Notamacropus eugenii: one gene and its partner. The protein of the gene in region 2 purifies or fractionates together with the protein of the main gene of each other region. This does not show direct contact. Links are inferred from orthologs where the notes say so. Each region holds a gene or a part of one and is shown on either strand. Other genes may lie near its edges.

Region 1 (7,876 bases), on a different chromosome or scaffold from region 2:
TTCCACTCCTCCCAACTCTGAAGCCAGGAATGAACCTGCGGTGGGCACAACATGATGCTGGCACCTCAGAGAGTGCCAGGGCCTTGCTCAGGGTCACATGGCAGGTAAGGGCCAAAGGGCAGAAGGAAACCTTCATGATTGTGGGTATCATTGCTAAGGCAAAGTAGCCAGGGAGTCACTTGCCCTGGGGGTTGGGTGGTGGGTGGTGGGTGGGTAGGGCTCTCAGTTTCCTCAATCTTCATAAGAGGACACAGGACTAGGTTCTCTGGGGGCCGTGTCCAGCACTTTCCAGGGTGCCCCAATTAGACATGGGGTCTGAAGGCTTGGCTTCAAAGCCTGGCTTTGCCATTTCACAGGGATTGCAGGGAGTACTGGACAGAAGGCTGGACTTGGGATCTGGAAAAACTGGGCTCAAATCCTGTCTCAGACACTCAGACAAGTCACTGCCCCTCTTTGTCTGTTTCCTTTTCTGTAAAATGAGGATTGGACTAAACTCCCTTCTGAGTTGAAATCTATGTCCTTTTTACCTTGGGCTAATCAAGTCACCTCTGGTGGGTCTCAGTTTCCCCATCTAGGGTTACCCTCAGGGAGCTCCCATTCAAGTGTACATAATGTGTACTCATGTACAGGTGAGGGGGAGGGGTGTCTGAGACACCAGAGAACCAGGGAAGGTAAGAGATGTGGGGGTGGGGGGCAAGCCATCAATGGCAAAGGCAGAGAGGAGAGAGGGAGTTCAAGGGGTAAAGATGAGTCGGGAGGCATGAAGGTCAAACAAAGAAATCTCTATCCCACCCTCCAGGTGGTGCACCAGGTGGTGACAGGGCAGGGAGGAAAAAACCAGCCTGGAGCTGAGGCTCCTGCCAGGGGATCCAGGCTGGGGGACGATGACCCTGGCTCTCAGCCTCCAGTCTGTCCTGGGAGAAGGTGAGCCCAGCCCAAAACAATCAAATCTTTACCTTCCCAGCCTCTGGCTGAGCCACACCACAGACCAAGGAAGGCAAAATCAAGCTGGACTCTAAAGTGAGACCCCATTTAAAGAGTCCCAGGCCCTCACCAGAAATGTCTAAGTCCAAAGGGGTCCAGCTGTCCTTCTCTGAAAGGGAAATCTACGAACTGCCCACCTCTCCCCCCAGGCTCCCCCATCTAAGCAGTTAGAGCCCAGATTCCCAGGGGCCCACACGACCCAAGGAAATTCCATGCAGATGAGTTACAGGAAGCTGCTTTCCACAGAAGACCTTTTTAGACCCTAAATTAGCTCTTCCGGTGCCCTTAAAGGTTAATAACAAATAACATTGCCAGAGCGCTGGAAAAAAAGAACCACCGACTGGGTGCTGGGGACAGCGCAAATCCTTTACAGTGTTCACAACAACCTTGGGATGTAGGAGCGATTATTTCCATTTCCAGCTCAGGAAACTGAGGCAGACAAAAATTAAGTGAGTTCCCCAGGGTCACATCACACACAGCAAGTAAGTGTCTGAGGCTGGATCAGGTCTTCCTGACTCCAGGCCTAGTCCCTGACCCACGGGGGCCACCTCTAATTAGATTAGTTCATTTGGTCCACACCACACCTGTGGGGGGTGGGTGCTATTATTATCTGTACCCTACAGAGAAGAATGGGAACGAGAACTAGGCTAACCCTGCCCAAACCCGGGTCCTGCTCCTTCCACAGTCTCATTCCTGCTGCAAGACAGAATCTGCCTGGTCCTCACAGTGCCTCAGGCCCCTGTGCCCAGACTGGGCCTTGGACTGGAGGGGGCAGGGGAAGGCTTTTCTCCCTATTTTCCACCAGCTACATTTTGGACCCAGGGACCTTGACCATCCTGGCTGCCCACCTCAGGACACTCCGCAGCTTCTTTATCCTTCATAAATAGTAAGCAGACCCCCAGAACTGAGTACCATACTGCTGAGGAGGAGGTGGAGGAGGAGGGGGAGGAGGAGGAGGAGGAGGTGTGCCTGAGGTCTGGTGACTGGGAGAGAACACAGAGGGGTGGGTCCCCTCCACCTGGGGGGCTGCTGACTCATCCTGGGTCCTTCGATCTCCTCCAGACCCCCGGATCTTTCTCACAACCGCTGCCCATCGTCCCTACCTAGGTATCTTACTAAATTAGCCCAGGCTGGATCCTGGCTCTGGCAGCCTCTACGGTGGCATCCCTGCGGCCAAACATCCTGCACACACGGCACCATTCGGCCAGTCATTGATCCGAGGGAAGGGGCCTGGGGCCACGCGCAGGTCCCCGGTGCCCCCTGGGCACCCCTGCCCAGTGCACGGAGCCGCTCCTGGTCATGGGCAGCTTCGGACCGAATGGTCCTCTCTCTCCAAGCATCCACGCGCGACGCACTTGGCTGAAACCTGCCCCAATTCTCCAGGCACTCCGGCCTGTGGGCAGCCCGGCCTCCGCTCGGACGTGGCCACGGCGGGGGGCACCCCACCCCCACAGACACCTCTCTGATTTCGGGGTGTATCGCAAGTCTCCATTCCCGGAGGGGCCCCCTCCGCTTTTAGCCTCCGGGGGTCAGCAGACGGTGAGCCCCAGGGCAGGGCCGGCCGGGGTGTCCCCAGCATGAAGCCTACGTTGGGCGGCAGCCCCAGGGGCAGCCGGGGAGGGCCATTTTACAGAGAAGGCAACTGAGGCTCAGAGAGGCCCAGGGGCTCCCCTGGCGCCGGGTGCCGCGGGGCTCCTGACCACCCTCCCCCCGCCCGGAGCAATGGTCCGGTCCGGGCCTATGGAACCCTCCCCGGCGGACGCTACCACCGCTCGCGCCGCGGGGAGGGAGGGGGGCGCGGCCGGGACGAACCTTTCGCGGGGGGTCCAAGATCCAGGCGGCCGCTCCGGGAGGTCCTGGGTCGGGGGGAGGGGAGGGGACGAGACAGACGCGGCCGGCTGCGGGCAGTGTCCCGGAAGTCTCGCCCAGGGCCCCACCCACCGGGGAGGGGCCGAACACGCCGGGACCCGCCCTCCGAGGAGCGAGCGGGAACCGCTGTTCTACGTCATCAAGGAGCGCCGAGCCGCGAGGGACTCTGGGACGCCGTCGGCGCCCCGCGTTTCCATAACAACCGGGAACGCTCCTGCGGCCTGTTAACTTGCGGCGGTGCAGGACCGTGGGAATTTTCCTCTTCCGGCGTGCGCTCCGGGAATGCAGCCCCAGGGCCCGTCCAGGCCTGACCGCCCCGCCCCCCGCGCTCGGGGCAAATGGCTAGAGCAGCAGCCACTCCCATCGCCCCCTAAGGCTACTACTGGCTTTGTACAGAGGGGGAAACTGAGGTTCCCGGGAAAGGGACGTAATAAAGAAACATACCTACAGTTACATAGGACTTTAGAGCTTGTACTGCAGCTTGTAAAGCCAGTCTTTCCTTTGGGTCTTACAACCACCCGGGGAGAGAAAATACTACACACACAATTGTTACTGCCGTTTAACAGATGAGGAAACTGAGGCTCCAGAGTGGTTTGCTCAGACCTTGGGTCTGTCATGACTTCCAACGTTCACGATGACGCTGGAAGGGAACAACACCGAGACACTGGTGCACTTGAACACTGCTTTATTGGCATATTGTCATCCAAGTCAAAATTCCTGGCTCTGTACCTATTTGGGATGGGGGTTTCCTCTCACCAAGGGGGTTCTTTCCCCACCCAGCCTGATTCCCAGGGCCGTGCCAGTCACAGATGCCAAATCTTAGAGCTGGAACAAGTCTCCTATTCCAGCTCTCTCTTTTTACAGACATGTAAACAGACTCGGAGAGGAAGGGATTTGCTGAAGGGTCACACAACAAGTCCGAGGCAATGTTGGGGCTGGCGTCCAGGACTCTCAACCTCCTTCTTCCCCTTAAATCATCAGATTCAGAGGTGAAAGGGACCTTGGTCATCTGGTCCAACTCTCTCATTCTACTGATGGGGAAACTGAGGCCCAGAGAGGGGAGGAGAGTGGCCCAAGATAAGTGGTGAGATAAAGGGCAGGGACCTAGGGATATGTAAAATGAGAAGAATGAAGACTTTTGGCAGCTATCTCTGAACCACAATTCAAGCTTCCTGAATTGAATGAAGCTTATTTCTTCTCCCAAAGTCCCCACTCCCTTTCCAAATCCCTTCTTGTCCCCCACTCCCCAAAAAATCTTACCTCTTGGCTTTGTCACATCAGTGCTCATCACCCACCTAAAAAAGGCCCACCCCCAGGGTGAAGGACTGGGTTAGCCCCTCTTGCCTCCCACAGGCTTGAGGGGGAAACCTGAAGAGCCAAAGGCCCCAGCCCTGCCTTTGGAGGCTGCTCTCTAGGTGGGTCGGCAGATCAGCATCTCCTGGGAGAGTCTGGGTACTTCATCTTCAACTCCTGTTTGAACTGGCGGAAGAGGATTTTATTCCGTTGATTCTCTGCCTCCTTCTGGGGGTGGAAGTCCCCTGGCATCTTGAAGCCCTTGTGGACCAGGAAAGCATCATTCAGCACCTCAAACTCATACCCTGCTACGTGGAGCTCACAGGCCTGGGAGGGAAGAGGGGGAGAGGAAACGGTCAAACTGGCCCTGGTTATCCTCCTGCCACCCCCATCAGCTCTTACCAGACACCTTTTGTCAGCCCCTTCCCTCCCACCCCAGGGAGAGAGCGACCGGCACCTGGCTGATGCGGTTGAAGCCATACTGCCGAAACCTCTCATCGTAGGAGGGCACTGCGCCTCCGGCCACATAGAAGGGCTCCCAGGGGTCCTGCCAGGTCACGCGGTAGGCAGGTCGCAGGGGTCCCCCTGGGGGCAAGGTGAGCCATCGAGAGTAGTTGGTGGGGGCGTGGCATCGAGGGCACAGTTCAGCATAGAATGGGCGAACGTGCCCCATCTTAAGGAAGCGCATCAGCTCGATTTTGGTGCGGGGGACCCGAACCCCCTGGCGGATCTCGAAGGCCGGAACCACCAGTGCCCGGCCTGCCCTGCCCTCGCCCAGGGCCAGCAGCTCCAGCAGGCCGGTCCAAAGCCCATCGCTGGGCACCATGTCCACGTCCACGACGAGGGCATGGCCGGCGCCCTCCCGGGCCACGTTTCGAAGGAGGTTGTTGGGGTAGGAGACGTTGGTGGCCAGCGCGTAGTTGCGACCTGAGCGGCTCCGGGCGCCCATGCTGGTGAACACATCTGTGCAGCTGCTGAGGCGTGCGAATTCGCCCGGCTCCCGCGGGTCAGGCACTGCGGCCTCGGTGCGCGCAGGGCACACCAGGTGCATGGTGAGGCGGTCGCGCACGGCCTGCGTGCAGAGAGCGCCCAGCGCGTAGGTCAGCACCGTGGCCAGCTGCGCCTCGTCTGGCCTCGCAGCGAACACGGCCACTGCCAAGGGCCCGGCCCAGCGCTCCAGCAGCGTGCCCACGTGGCCCAGGTTGCTGAGGCTGGCGTGGGTGGCGAGCAGCAGGGCGTCGCGCGGGCGGCGCGAGGGGTCCCCTAGAACGTGCCGGTACACGCGGTAGTCCCCGCTGGCGTCCAGGGCGCCGCCGGCGGCCAGCACGGCCCGCAGCTGCTCCTTGGCGCTCTCGGCCGCGCGGCGCTGCAGACTGGCACCCAGGGCCGCCCCGCCGGGGAACAGCTGCCCGTAGCGGCGCCGCTGCTCGCGCCCGTGCAGCCCGGCCAGCAGCGACAGGTAGACGAATTGCAGCAGCGCCACTGCCAGCAGCGCCGCCAGTGCCAGCTTGTAGGCCGAGCAGCGGCCCGCCGCGTGCCCGCCGCCCGCCGCCGCCGCCGCCACTGCCAGCGGGTTGGGCATCGCGTGCCGCCCAGGCCTCCCGGGGCAGGAGGCTGGGGAGGAGGCGAGGAGCGGAGGAGGGAGGCCAAGCCGGGCGAGCGAGCGCACCGCGGATGCAGCTGCCGCCGCCGCCGCCGCTATCCCTGCTACTGAGACTGTGGCCAGCCGGGCACTGGGGGGCCGCCGCGGAGCGCACTCTCGCCCTCTGCCCAGCGGGAGGACGCACTGCAGCCGCGCGCCCCACGGCGAGCCCCGCAGCTGTGTGTGGCCCACGCAGATGTGCGGTGTGTGTGTGTGTGTTGGGGGGTAGAGATGCCCAGGTTCTAACAGGAACGAGAGAGAGGGGCCCGTGGCCTGGCTGGCAAACCCAACCTTTCTGGAGGGGAACAAGGCGCCTAGGGGTGGGCTGGCAAACTGCCCTGTGCCTTCCTCCCTTGCAGAAAAGAAAGGGGGGAAGGAAGCGCTCGAGGCTTCGCTTGCAACTTCCAGGCAGTGCCTCAGGCAGCGTGTCCTCCCTGGCACAAAGGCTCGTGGCTCCCTAGGAATTGCCAGGAAGGGGACGCGACACCGGCAAGCCCCCTTTTCGGCCGCACAGGGCGCGCCAAGCTGGAGTCGCAAACACATGTGACCGTGGAAGGACACCCTGACACCTGCGCCCGGGTTTGCAGGTTCCCACTCTAGTTTGCACTCCCGCAATCTTTTCGGGGGGTGGGGGGAGGGACGTGCCCACAGCTATCCACAGAGGCCTGCGGAGGGAGGGATGTTTCCTGGTCACTCGGCAGTCGCGGCCACCCTTTGAAAGGAAAACGCGAGCATGGAGCAGGAAACGAGCCCCTCCCAGGGGTCCCTGTGCCGCGCCTCTCCTGGCATCAGAGATCCCCCGCCCGGCCCGCAGAGGAGGGGAAAGGCTGGCGCGGTGCTCTCCGCAGCCGGACGCAGGAACAAGGGGCTGCGCGGAGAAATCAGCCTGCGGCGGGACGAGGTGGCCGAGTGGTTAAGGCGATGGACTGCTAATCCATTGTGCTCTGCACGCGTGGGTTCGAATCCCATCCTCGTCGTTCCAATTTTCCGCTGGCCCCGCAGTCATTTTCCTCCTCAGCTCCCTCGGAAGGCTCTCGCGTGTTAGGAGCTTTGGGGAAAACAGCCAGAGAAAGGCACGGATGCCCGTCATCCCTCCCCTTCGCAGGAGAGACTCAGACCACCCACATTTTGGCTCCAGTTTGACCAGATCCCAGAGAAAGGAGGGACCTTCCGAGGGAAGTCGTGGTGGTTGTTGGGCTCTGTCCAACTCGTGGTCTTCCTGTCCTAAGCTCCGTAGCCCCAAGTGCCCAAGATTAGCAGGGAGATCTCGATCTGGGTTTGGGATTGGCTTTCGACTTAGCAAACACTGCTGGACACCGAGAGGGCAGAGCCCTGAGATGGACATGGGGCTTCCTGTTGAGGTCGGGTATAAACACACACGTGCACACGTTGTCCCTCCCTTAGGAAGAAGATAATATTTGGGAGCAGCTTTCAATTTCTGCAGCCTCGGTCCCTGGCGCACAGTAGGTGCTTAGTAAAAGCATGCCCACCGATTAAGCTTCGAGGGAACTTTGTGCCTTGTGTTTGTTCTGTGGAAAGAGCTGAAGCTGGGCCCCAGAGGAGTGACCCTCTCCCCAGAGGAAGATCTGACCCAGTGATAATCTTTGGGATGGGACTCAGCCTCAAGAAGGCAGGGCCAAACCAGGGCTCTCCCTACCCATGGCCAAGGAACTGAGGAAGAAAAGGGAAGCTCATGAATTCATTGGACCTCACAGCCAGCCAGAGTCAATGCCCAGTCCTGATTGCTCCCGGCCACCACCACCAGAACAGAAACAGCCAGAATTTATTAGCATCTTAAGGAGGACATTTTCATGTTGGATTCTCATAACCCTGCCAATTAGGTGCTGTTATTATCCCTGTTTTTACAGATGAAGAAACTGAGGCAAATGGGTTGTTCAGTCACGCAGCTAGACTGTGTCGGAGGTTGTATTTGAACTCAGGTCTTCCTGATTCCAGGCTCTGAAGGGTTTGAGATGATCACTTAGTCTAACCGCCTCAGAATTCAGAGGGCGCCCTATTCCAAATCCAGAATGCTTCCTACTGCTAAAAACCCCCTCTAAAGCTAATTACATTAAGGCTGCTATGTAC
Region 2 (8,310 bases):
ATAACATGCCCTGTAATTTTTAAGTGGAAAATATTAAAAGGGAGTGCACTGCCATTTCTTTTCTCCAGATATAGAGTCAAAAAACCTTTACCATATGCCAAAAGTTTAAGAATTCAGGAGAATATAGTACATTAATCTTAGGGTTATATTGTTAAAGACCTGAAATGGTCTATATAACTTTTTATTGTTTTAAAGCTTCAAAACACTTAAATCTTCTTTGATACCCTACCTCTAAGTCGAAACTATTAAATTACCACGATAAACATGTCAGTAGAGAGCTTTAACCAAATATTCATTGTAACAACAATAGACACAATGTAACACCTACAAATAAATAAGTATCCATTCAACCTATTTTAAAATTGAAAACATTATTTAATCAGTACTGTGTCAGAAGACTGAGGTTGAAATGGAAGTCACAACAGCTGATAACAGAGAAATAAAACTAATGCTCTTACATTTGAAGCACTAAGATTTTTTGCATTAATATTGCTGGTGTAAAAAAAGAAGCTTCCTTTGGAAATATCTAATTTCAACATGCTGAAGTGGCAAAAAAAAAAAATAGATACTTCATTTTACCATAAACTCTAATCCTCGTGTGAACATGCTTTTGTTGTCTCTTTTATACACAAATCTTATATGAAGCTTAGCACTTATTCACAGAGCTATTTATAGGCACATACATTTAAAAACAGTTGTAGTATACTGTAAGTAGGAAAATAATTTATTTTTCCAACTAGTTGTTTTAAACAACATTCAAACTTTCAAAGTGTCACTTTATTCATTTATTAAATTATATTTACCTTCCTAAAGTTTTAAACTCTGAAATATTTGGAGCATTTTTCAAAGCTTGCTGTCACCTTTCTTCCTGATAAAAATCACAGCAAGCATTAAGAATTTAGGAAAGTGAGGTTTAATAAATGAATAAGGCAATAAATCAATCATGAGTTTGATAAATTAACTAATTTTAAAAGCATATAAATTAATAAAATTTTAGAACTTCTTGTGGCAAAGAAGTATAATCAGGACTATTTTAAACTATCATTATAAAATGTCATTTCTTTCCTATCATCCTTTGAAATGTTCCTTGTTGGAATTATTTTGGAATAATCTTTTCCATTAAAAAGAGTTTAATAACATTTATCATATGGACTGAGCATTAAGCATTGTTTTAATTCAACCTCATGGATTTGTGTAATGCATGTTATTTCTAAAATCCTAGAAAAATTGAAATCTCTCTCCACTAGGCTCCCTCCATTCCATTCCAACTCCACATACATTCTTTGCTCTTTGGGGAAACGCACAAACAAAATCCCCCGAAACTCAAAGATAGGACAAAAGCTATTGTTTTGCAAAGGCCGCTGTCATTAGTGTTTAAAGAAAAATATTCGCCCAAAGAACAACAGCTCAGAGTCGGATCCCCTCGATAGAGTTAGAATTCTAGGGCCTTAGAAGAGGTCGAGGAGGACGGCACTTCATACACATCGATCGCTTCCGACACATTCAATAGATGCTATTTCCCCCCACACTCCTCAATGACTGACAAAGGAATAAAGTTTAAATATACATAAATATATGTATACATATGTATATAAATGCATATTTTTAAAATTCTCAGAACAAAAGTCCCAAAAGCGAAAGCTCAAGAGCAGGGGAGGAGCAGGGATGACCCAAAAGGGGCAGGCCGGTCCCTCTCCAGCGGGGAGGGCCACGCTTATCCCGTTTACCTTCATTTTGGGGGACGATCTAAGAGGTTCCAGCTCAAAGAGAAGTCTTCGGCAGGGCAGGATGCGTGAGGGAGGAAGAGAGAAGTGCAGTTAACCAACAAGAGCCCGAGAAGCCGTCCGAGTAAACAAGCCCCAGCGGGGAGGGGCACAGCCCTCGCTGTCCCAGGTCCGGGAGGAAAAGCAGAGGCCCAAGGAAGAGGGGGGGCGGGAGGAGCCCCCAAACCAGCTTTCATGCCGCCCCTCGGAGGACTTCCCTGCCTCCGCCCCTCTGCCCACTTCCACCCGGGCAAAGTGAAGTCGGGGCTTCCTCTGAGTGCCGCCGGTGCTGGCGGAGGGCGGCAGTTTCTGTTTCTCGGGCTCCTACGGGGGGCAGTCTCCGGGGCGGTCCGTGTCTCCCTCCGCTCGCCCTCTCCCGCCTCTGCCCCCCCCCCCCCCCGCCCGCTTCTCGGCCGCTTCCCCCCTCTCTCCCCTCCCCCCGGTGCCCGCGGTGGCGGCGGCAGCGGCGGCGGTGTGTCACGGCGCCATTGCTCTGCCTCCACCAGCTCTGCACCATGTCAGGCAGGAGAACAGGCTCCGGGTCCCAGAGGGGCAACAGCCGCCCGCCGCCCGAGAAAAAGAGAAAAGGGGAAAAGAGGAGGAGGAGGAGGAGGAGGAGGAGGAGGGGGTGGGGGAGTGAGGGGGTGGAGAAGAGGAAGGGAGGCAGCCGGGACAGGGTGTGGGAGGGGAGGAGAACCGCACAGTGGCAGCCACTGCCTCCTCCCTCCACCCGCCTCAACTTTTTTGTGGCGCTCCGAAAGGCGCCGGTCCTCCAAGCCCCCACCCCGACCCCTCTGGTCGAGCTCGCAAACCCACTCGAGGGAGAAGCGCCGCAGAGTTGGGACCCCTCTCCCGGGAGCAGCCCCGCTCCTCACTCCGCCGGAGCAAACTTAGCGGGGCGGCCACCCCCACAGCCATTTTACTCCGGGAACCGGAGAAGGGGTGGGAGGAGGGAGGAAAAAAAGAAAATCGGCAGCAGCGGTTCCCCCTGCTGAGGCTTCTCCTCTGCCGCCCCCACCCCCACCTCCAAACCTCTAAGTGCACCGGGACTCCCGGGCAGCAGCACCAGCTGCTACTGCCGCTTCGCCCATTCAATAGCCCCCGCTCCTCTTCTCCCTACCTACCAACTGCGGCTTAAGTACGCGCTGTCAGCTCTCGATCCCCCCAGGCACACTGACCCTAGCGGGCCCCCGTCCGGGCAGCACCACTCCTGGCCGCCGCGGCAGTTCCTGCGCCCAGTCCCCCGCTCGCCCCGATTTACTGCCACAATCCACCAAATAACAAGCTGTTGAGCAGACTCGCTCCTACACGAACTCCTATTGGCCCCTCATGACGATGGAGCACCCTTCCGCGCTCCTCATTGGAGCTCGCTACCCGCCGCCCCGATTGGATATAACGCCTTGAGTGCACCGATTGGTAAGAAAAGCAGCAGGTAGGAAATATCGTACTTATGATTGGTTAGCCGAAGAGTCAAACATTATTGGAGGAGTTGGGAATTGAGTCAGTAGATCCTGACAAATGATTGGTGATGATGACTCCGGATGTGCTTGAGTGATCACTGATTGGTGAACTCGGGGGTCAGGAAGAGCGACCCAGAGCGGGGATTGGCAGTGGGTGTCCCATGGAAACGGAACTCATAGCTGCGGAGAGGGGCTTGCACCGGGGGCGGGGCAGGGACTATACAAGGCGCCTGCGCTAGATCCTGTTCTCGGCGCCATTTTGTCTCGGCAGCAGTGGCTGTGGCTCTTTCCCATTTTAAGCTTGTCGAGGAGGGGAGCTGAGACTTTACCCGGTTGACTCGTTCTCATGGACTAGACCTTCACCTTCCATCCCGGGTGAGAGCACAGTGAGTGACTGAATAAATTTGGGATCCATCCACAAAGGTCAACTGAAGGCTGCGGTTAACTGACGGGGGAGGGTGTGTGTGGGGGGGGGGTTGAGGGGATGGCGCAGCAATAGCGGCACTAAGACCGGAAGTGAGGGGGCCTCGCGGCGGCCGCGGCAGAGTAAGTTCCTCACTGGGGGGACGAATGGGGGTGGGGGGAGTATTGAGGCCTTCTCTCCCGCCGGAGAAGAGGGGGTGGAGTTTGCTACCTCTTCGTAGAGCTGGATCTTCCCCTTTTTCTCCTATATGGGTAAAGAAGGTGTGTGCTCGACCCTGGGGCTCCACACCCCTCACCCATCTCTGTGCTTTGCCTTCCCTGATTCTCGTGCAGAGGGGCCGAGGTTTGACTTCTCTAAACTTGAAAGGAGTTATTCTTGCCAGGTGCCCCCTGCCTAAGAAAAGGGCGTTTCCACCCTAGCTTCGAAGCTGGGAAATCCCTGGTTCTCAAGATTCAGGAGTTCTCCTTCCCAGTTTGCCCTGATAGTTGTTCGCCTAAGGTCTTGCTGTGTCGAACTAGAATTCTCTTTTTAAGTGGAGATTGTATTTGACAGGAATGTAGTATGTCCAACAGTCCTCCAGTAATCATTCACCAAGAGGTACGGTGACCATTGATTGATTCGGCAGTTATGTAATGGACCTTTTAAATGAAAGTATTTTAAATCACTTTTAAATCTTAAGTAATGATGAGTCAGAGATTGGGTTGGAGAGGAGCACAGCAACTGGATTTTAAATTTTATTTAGAAAAAACTTGTTTGAACTAGGTAAAGTGTGTGTTGTTCCTTAATTGAGTAGCTTTTTAATGTAAAGAGACTGGCATATGCTAAACTGTATTAACTAAAATTAGAAAAGCTTTGGGTTCTAAGGAATTCACATTATTGTTTATTCTCACAACATCTCTAGTTGACTTTAAACTATTTTAGAGTCAGATTTAGTGAGGTGTAAGTGCTTTGATATAAGTGCTTTTAAAAAATTTCTCTCAATTATTTTGCAGTTTGGCTCTTAAAGATCTGTAGATTGGGTGAATTTGAGAAAGTCATTCAACGTTGTTTCGGAGGTGAGTCCTTATATAATTCTGAAAATATTGAGAATGAGGGGAGGAGGTGGCGAAAACACCTAGGAAATGAATTTTCATGCCTAGTCAGAAGTCTTTTGAGGTAGATTGTGATGTATTGTTGAAAGAAGGGGAAGGATGGGTGTTGTGCTTTTATTTAATAGGCAAAGATGAGGTTGTTTTGGGGTATAGAGAATTAATTGGATGCAGAAGGTATAGCAAAAATAAGCCTAAAATGAGCTTCAAGTAGGCTGGTTTGACTAAGACTTTGTTTAGTGGAAGTGAAACTGGAAAGGTAGGATAGAAACCAGATAATAGAGAACCTTTGAATTTCAGTTCAAAACTTTAAACAAAGTGTTAAAAGTGTTTTAAAGTACCATTCCCAAGATGGCACTTCAGGAAAGATTAATCCATTGACATCTAGAAGGATGCTTAAGAGGTGTTGGAGTCTGGCAACTGTATGACAAATTAGGAAACTATTGCAGTACTCTAGACATAAGACATGGATCAAGTAATGACAAGGGGATCTGGGAGAGAGATATTTGAAGGAAGAACAGGCAGGCTGCAACAAACAACAGATTTTGAGTCTTGGTGCTTTGGGGAAATGATAATTCTCTTTACTGTTCAGCTTTCATTTTGGACTTTACATGAGTTTTATAGTATGTGATCTTTTAGTATAAATGAAATCCTTTTTAATATGTCTTCTAAGGAATTTTTTCCAGTGAAAGCAAAATTGTAATCACAGGAGCAGAAATGTTTTATTTCTTTTCAACTATTTGTAGCTGTTTTCTTTGCATAGCTTCTTTGCATTGTAAATTATTAATGCAAATGATTAATATCCATAATCTTCTCAGCTTTTGATATCCTTTCTTTTTGTTGTACCTTCCCTCCTGGAACCCTGTGTCCCAGCCAGCGAATGTTGAGAATTAGCAAACTATTAATATTAGCTTGAGGAAAACATGATTAGGGAACTACAACTGCAACCTTCTATCTCCCCTATCTTCCCTTCATGTTCATTCATTTAACAGCTGTTAACTGTGCTCCCTATGTACAGTGTGCTGGGTACTAAGTTGATTATAAGATTTGATCACATAAATGTCTTTTAACTTTTCTCATGAAGCAGAAATTTATATTGTAACACACTGAAGCTCCATTTTTGCCTGTGGTTCCAAAAACATATATTTTAAAAATATTCCTGTCAGTCACATTGCTTGTATTATGTAGTACTTACCATCAGGAAACCCTTCTACGTCAGTTATACTTTTATTAAGTTGTAGTCTTGCCCACTAAAATCAGTTGTGATGTCATAAGTGGTATTGAAATTTTTAGCATTAGAATTTAGCAAAGAAGTCTTAAATCCGTTTTTTTTTAAATAGTGGTATAAAATATTGTTGTCATTTCCATGGTGTAGTGATCTTAGAGATGACTGAATTCTAGTGTTATCTTTGATACTTTCTAGCTGTTTGATCCTACTCAAGCACTTAAGTGCCTACCAAGTTGTCAGACACTGCTAGATGTTGGGAAAATAAATTATTTAATCTCTCTGAAGCTCTGTTTCTTGATAAGTAAAATGGGCATAATTATGACTCATGGTGTTTTTGTGAGGAAAGTATTTTGTAATTCTTAAAGTGTTCCATACATAGGAATTAGGTTCTGCATAGATAGCTATATAGCATGTCATGGGATATAATAAATTAGATATGTCCGCAGACAGAAGATCGTAGACTTCAATCTTTTGTGAATTTTTTTAGTAAAATGAGAATTTCTTTTCCCTCTATTAGGGGAATCTATTGATACTTGACATATTCTTGTTTAATTAGGATTAGGATTTACTGGTGGTACATGGTTTCCTTTTTTCACCTACCAATAGCCTCAACCACTTTTGTTGTCTTTATTTCTTCTCTCTTCAGAGTACACAGTGCAAGCTTTGAGCACTTGTGAAGTGACATTTGGGGGGCTATTTGGGAAAAACAAAAATAGCATTGATCAGTGAAGTTAAATTTTTCTTTTTATTTGTATAAATAAATTTTGAAAATCTTTTTTTGAGAAAACATGAATAATTATTAGGTTCTGCTTATGTTATACATCAGTTTCATTCTCTTTTGTTTAATCCTGAGCACTCACAAATGTAAAGACCTTGAGAATTACTGTTTTTCATGTGTAAATATCAGGTTTAGTTCTCAGTGATTCTGATTTCTAGTAGGATGTAGGGTTAGAGAATCTTTTGAAGAATATCATAGTGATTTCCTGATTAATCTTAAGTGCCTTTTTATATATAATTTTTTTTAAAGTTCCTGAAGAGTCTTGATGAAGCAGATTTTTAATTTGTATAAGGATACAAACATCCTCATTCTGATGATATAGTATATGATGTTATTCATAGACTCATGGGGTTAGGAATGGACAATATATCAGAGGGCATCTGAATCAGTCCCCTTATTTTAAAGGTGAAGACTAAGGAAGGCTGTGACTTGTGCAAGGTCATGCGGATGGTAAGCATCAGGGGTAGTATTTGAGCTGACTTCTGACCCCACAACCTCCACACACTATTAAGAGAGGTAGACTAAGTATTATGAATAAGTTGATTCTTGTAAAATGATTTTATGCTTCACTATGAGATAGACTGGACAGCATCACTATTTTTAATTCTTTGTCTTTCAGATTTATCCTGATATTTTGTAGGGAAAAAGTCATCAAAGGCTTTTAACCCTGTTTTCTTACTGTTTCTTGGAATGTTTCTGGTAGGTGATTTTTAGAATGATACAAAAAAAATAAGTTTCAGTTTTTAATATTGTATGGCAATGCTACTACATATAACAAAGTTAGGTAAGAAATGGTACTCTCTGAAATGTATAATGGTTTCAGTAAGCTTTTCCATGATGTTGAGAAGTAGATTTGACAGCTGTAGTGCAGCCAAAAAATTTCCCAATGAATCATTTATCTCTAAAGAAAATTAAATAATAGGTTAATTTCTAACCAGGTACAAGCTCCCGTATTGCTGTACTTTTCCCTTTTGAATTGCATAATCACTGGAATTCATAAATCTTAGTTTTCCTTTATGAACAAGCCTAAATAAAAATATGTTTCAGATTATGGAGTGAGTAGATAATATTTTTAGCAGATTGATAATTTTTGAGCATTTAAAATACTTTGATGTTTTAATATGCAAAGCTTTAGCCCAGGTATTCTAGATAATACAAAGAAAGTTTCTGTCCTTAAAGAGCCTGTGATACAGCTGGAAAGATGGGACATAAATGTGCTTTAAAATTCCTGTTATTTAACAGGAAAAAAATTTATTTAGGAAAACAATGGAAGCAGTATTGCAAGGTAGTGATTAATTGTCACATTTTATAATCACATAACATTAGAGGAGTCAGAAGAAATTGGGAGGAAAAGGATTTGGCAGGAAAAGCTTTATAAAGAGAGTGGGATCAGAAGTTGATCTTGAAAGGAATGGGATTCGGATAGGCAAGGCAGAAAGCATTCTAGTGGAATAAAATGGGCAAAAACTTAGGAGAAAGATTGAGGTATGTTTGGCAGAGAGTAAGTAAATCAGTTTGACTAGGCAAGTAGACAATGATGGGCCTAGAAATGTACTATGGGGCCAAAAT

Evidence for each region.
Region 1: the proteins of ARID4A (region 2) and BRMS1 purify together in Homo sapiens (affinity purification with western blotting; 3 studies listed by BioGRID and IntAct, with this or other methods). This does not show direct contact. The link is inferred for Notamacropus eugenii from reciprocal best matches to the Homo sapiens genes ARID4A and BRMS1.

Annotation. Positions count from the first base shown.
Region 1 is NC_092873.1:18,947,373-18,955,248, forward strand, and holds the start of BRMS1 (breast cancer metastasis-suppressor 1), read right to left. Parts: upstream 3,231-7,876; 5' UTR 2,797-3,230; exon of another isoform or gene 2,047-2,796; intron 1,871-2,046; exon of another isoform or gene 800-1,870; intron 105-799; exon of another isoform or gene 1-104. Other genes in the region: B4GAT1 (beta-1,4-glucuronyltransferase 1), read right to left, coding at 4,282-4,473, 4,604-6,331. UniProt on the Homo sapiens protein: Transcriptional repressor. Down-regulates transcription activation by NF-kappa-B by promoting the deacetylation of RELA at 'Lys-310'. Promotes HDAC1 binding to promoter regions.
Region 2 is NC_092872.1:301,126,914-301,135,223, reverse strand, and holds the start of ARID4A (AT-rich interactive domain-containing protein 4A), read right to left. Parts: upstream 3,152-8,310; 5' UTR 2,888-3,151; intron 1,774-2,887; 5' UTR 1,734-1,773; coding exon 1,728-1,733; intron 1-1,727.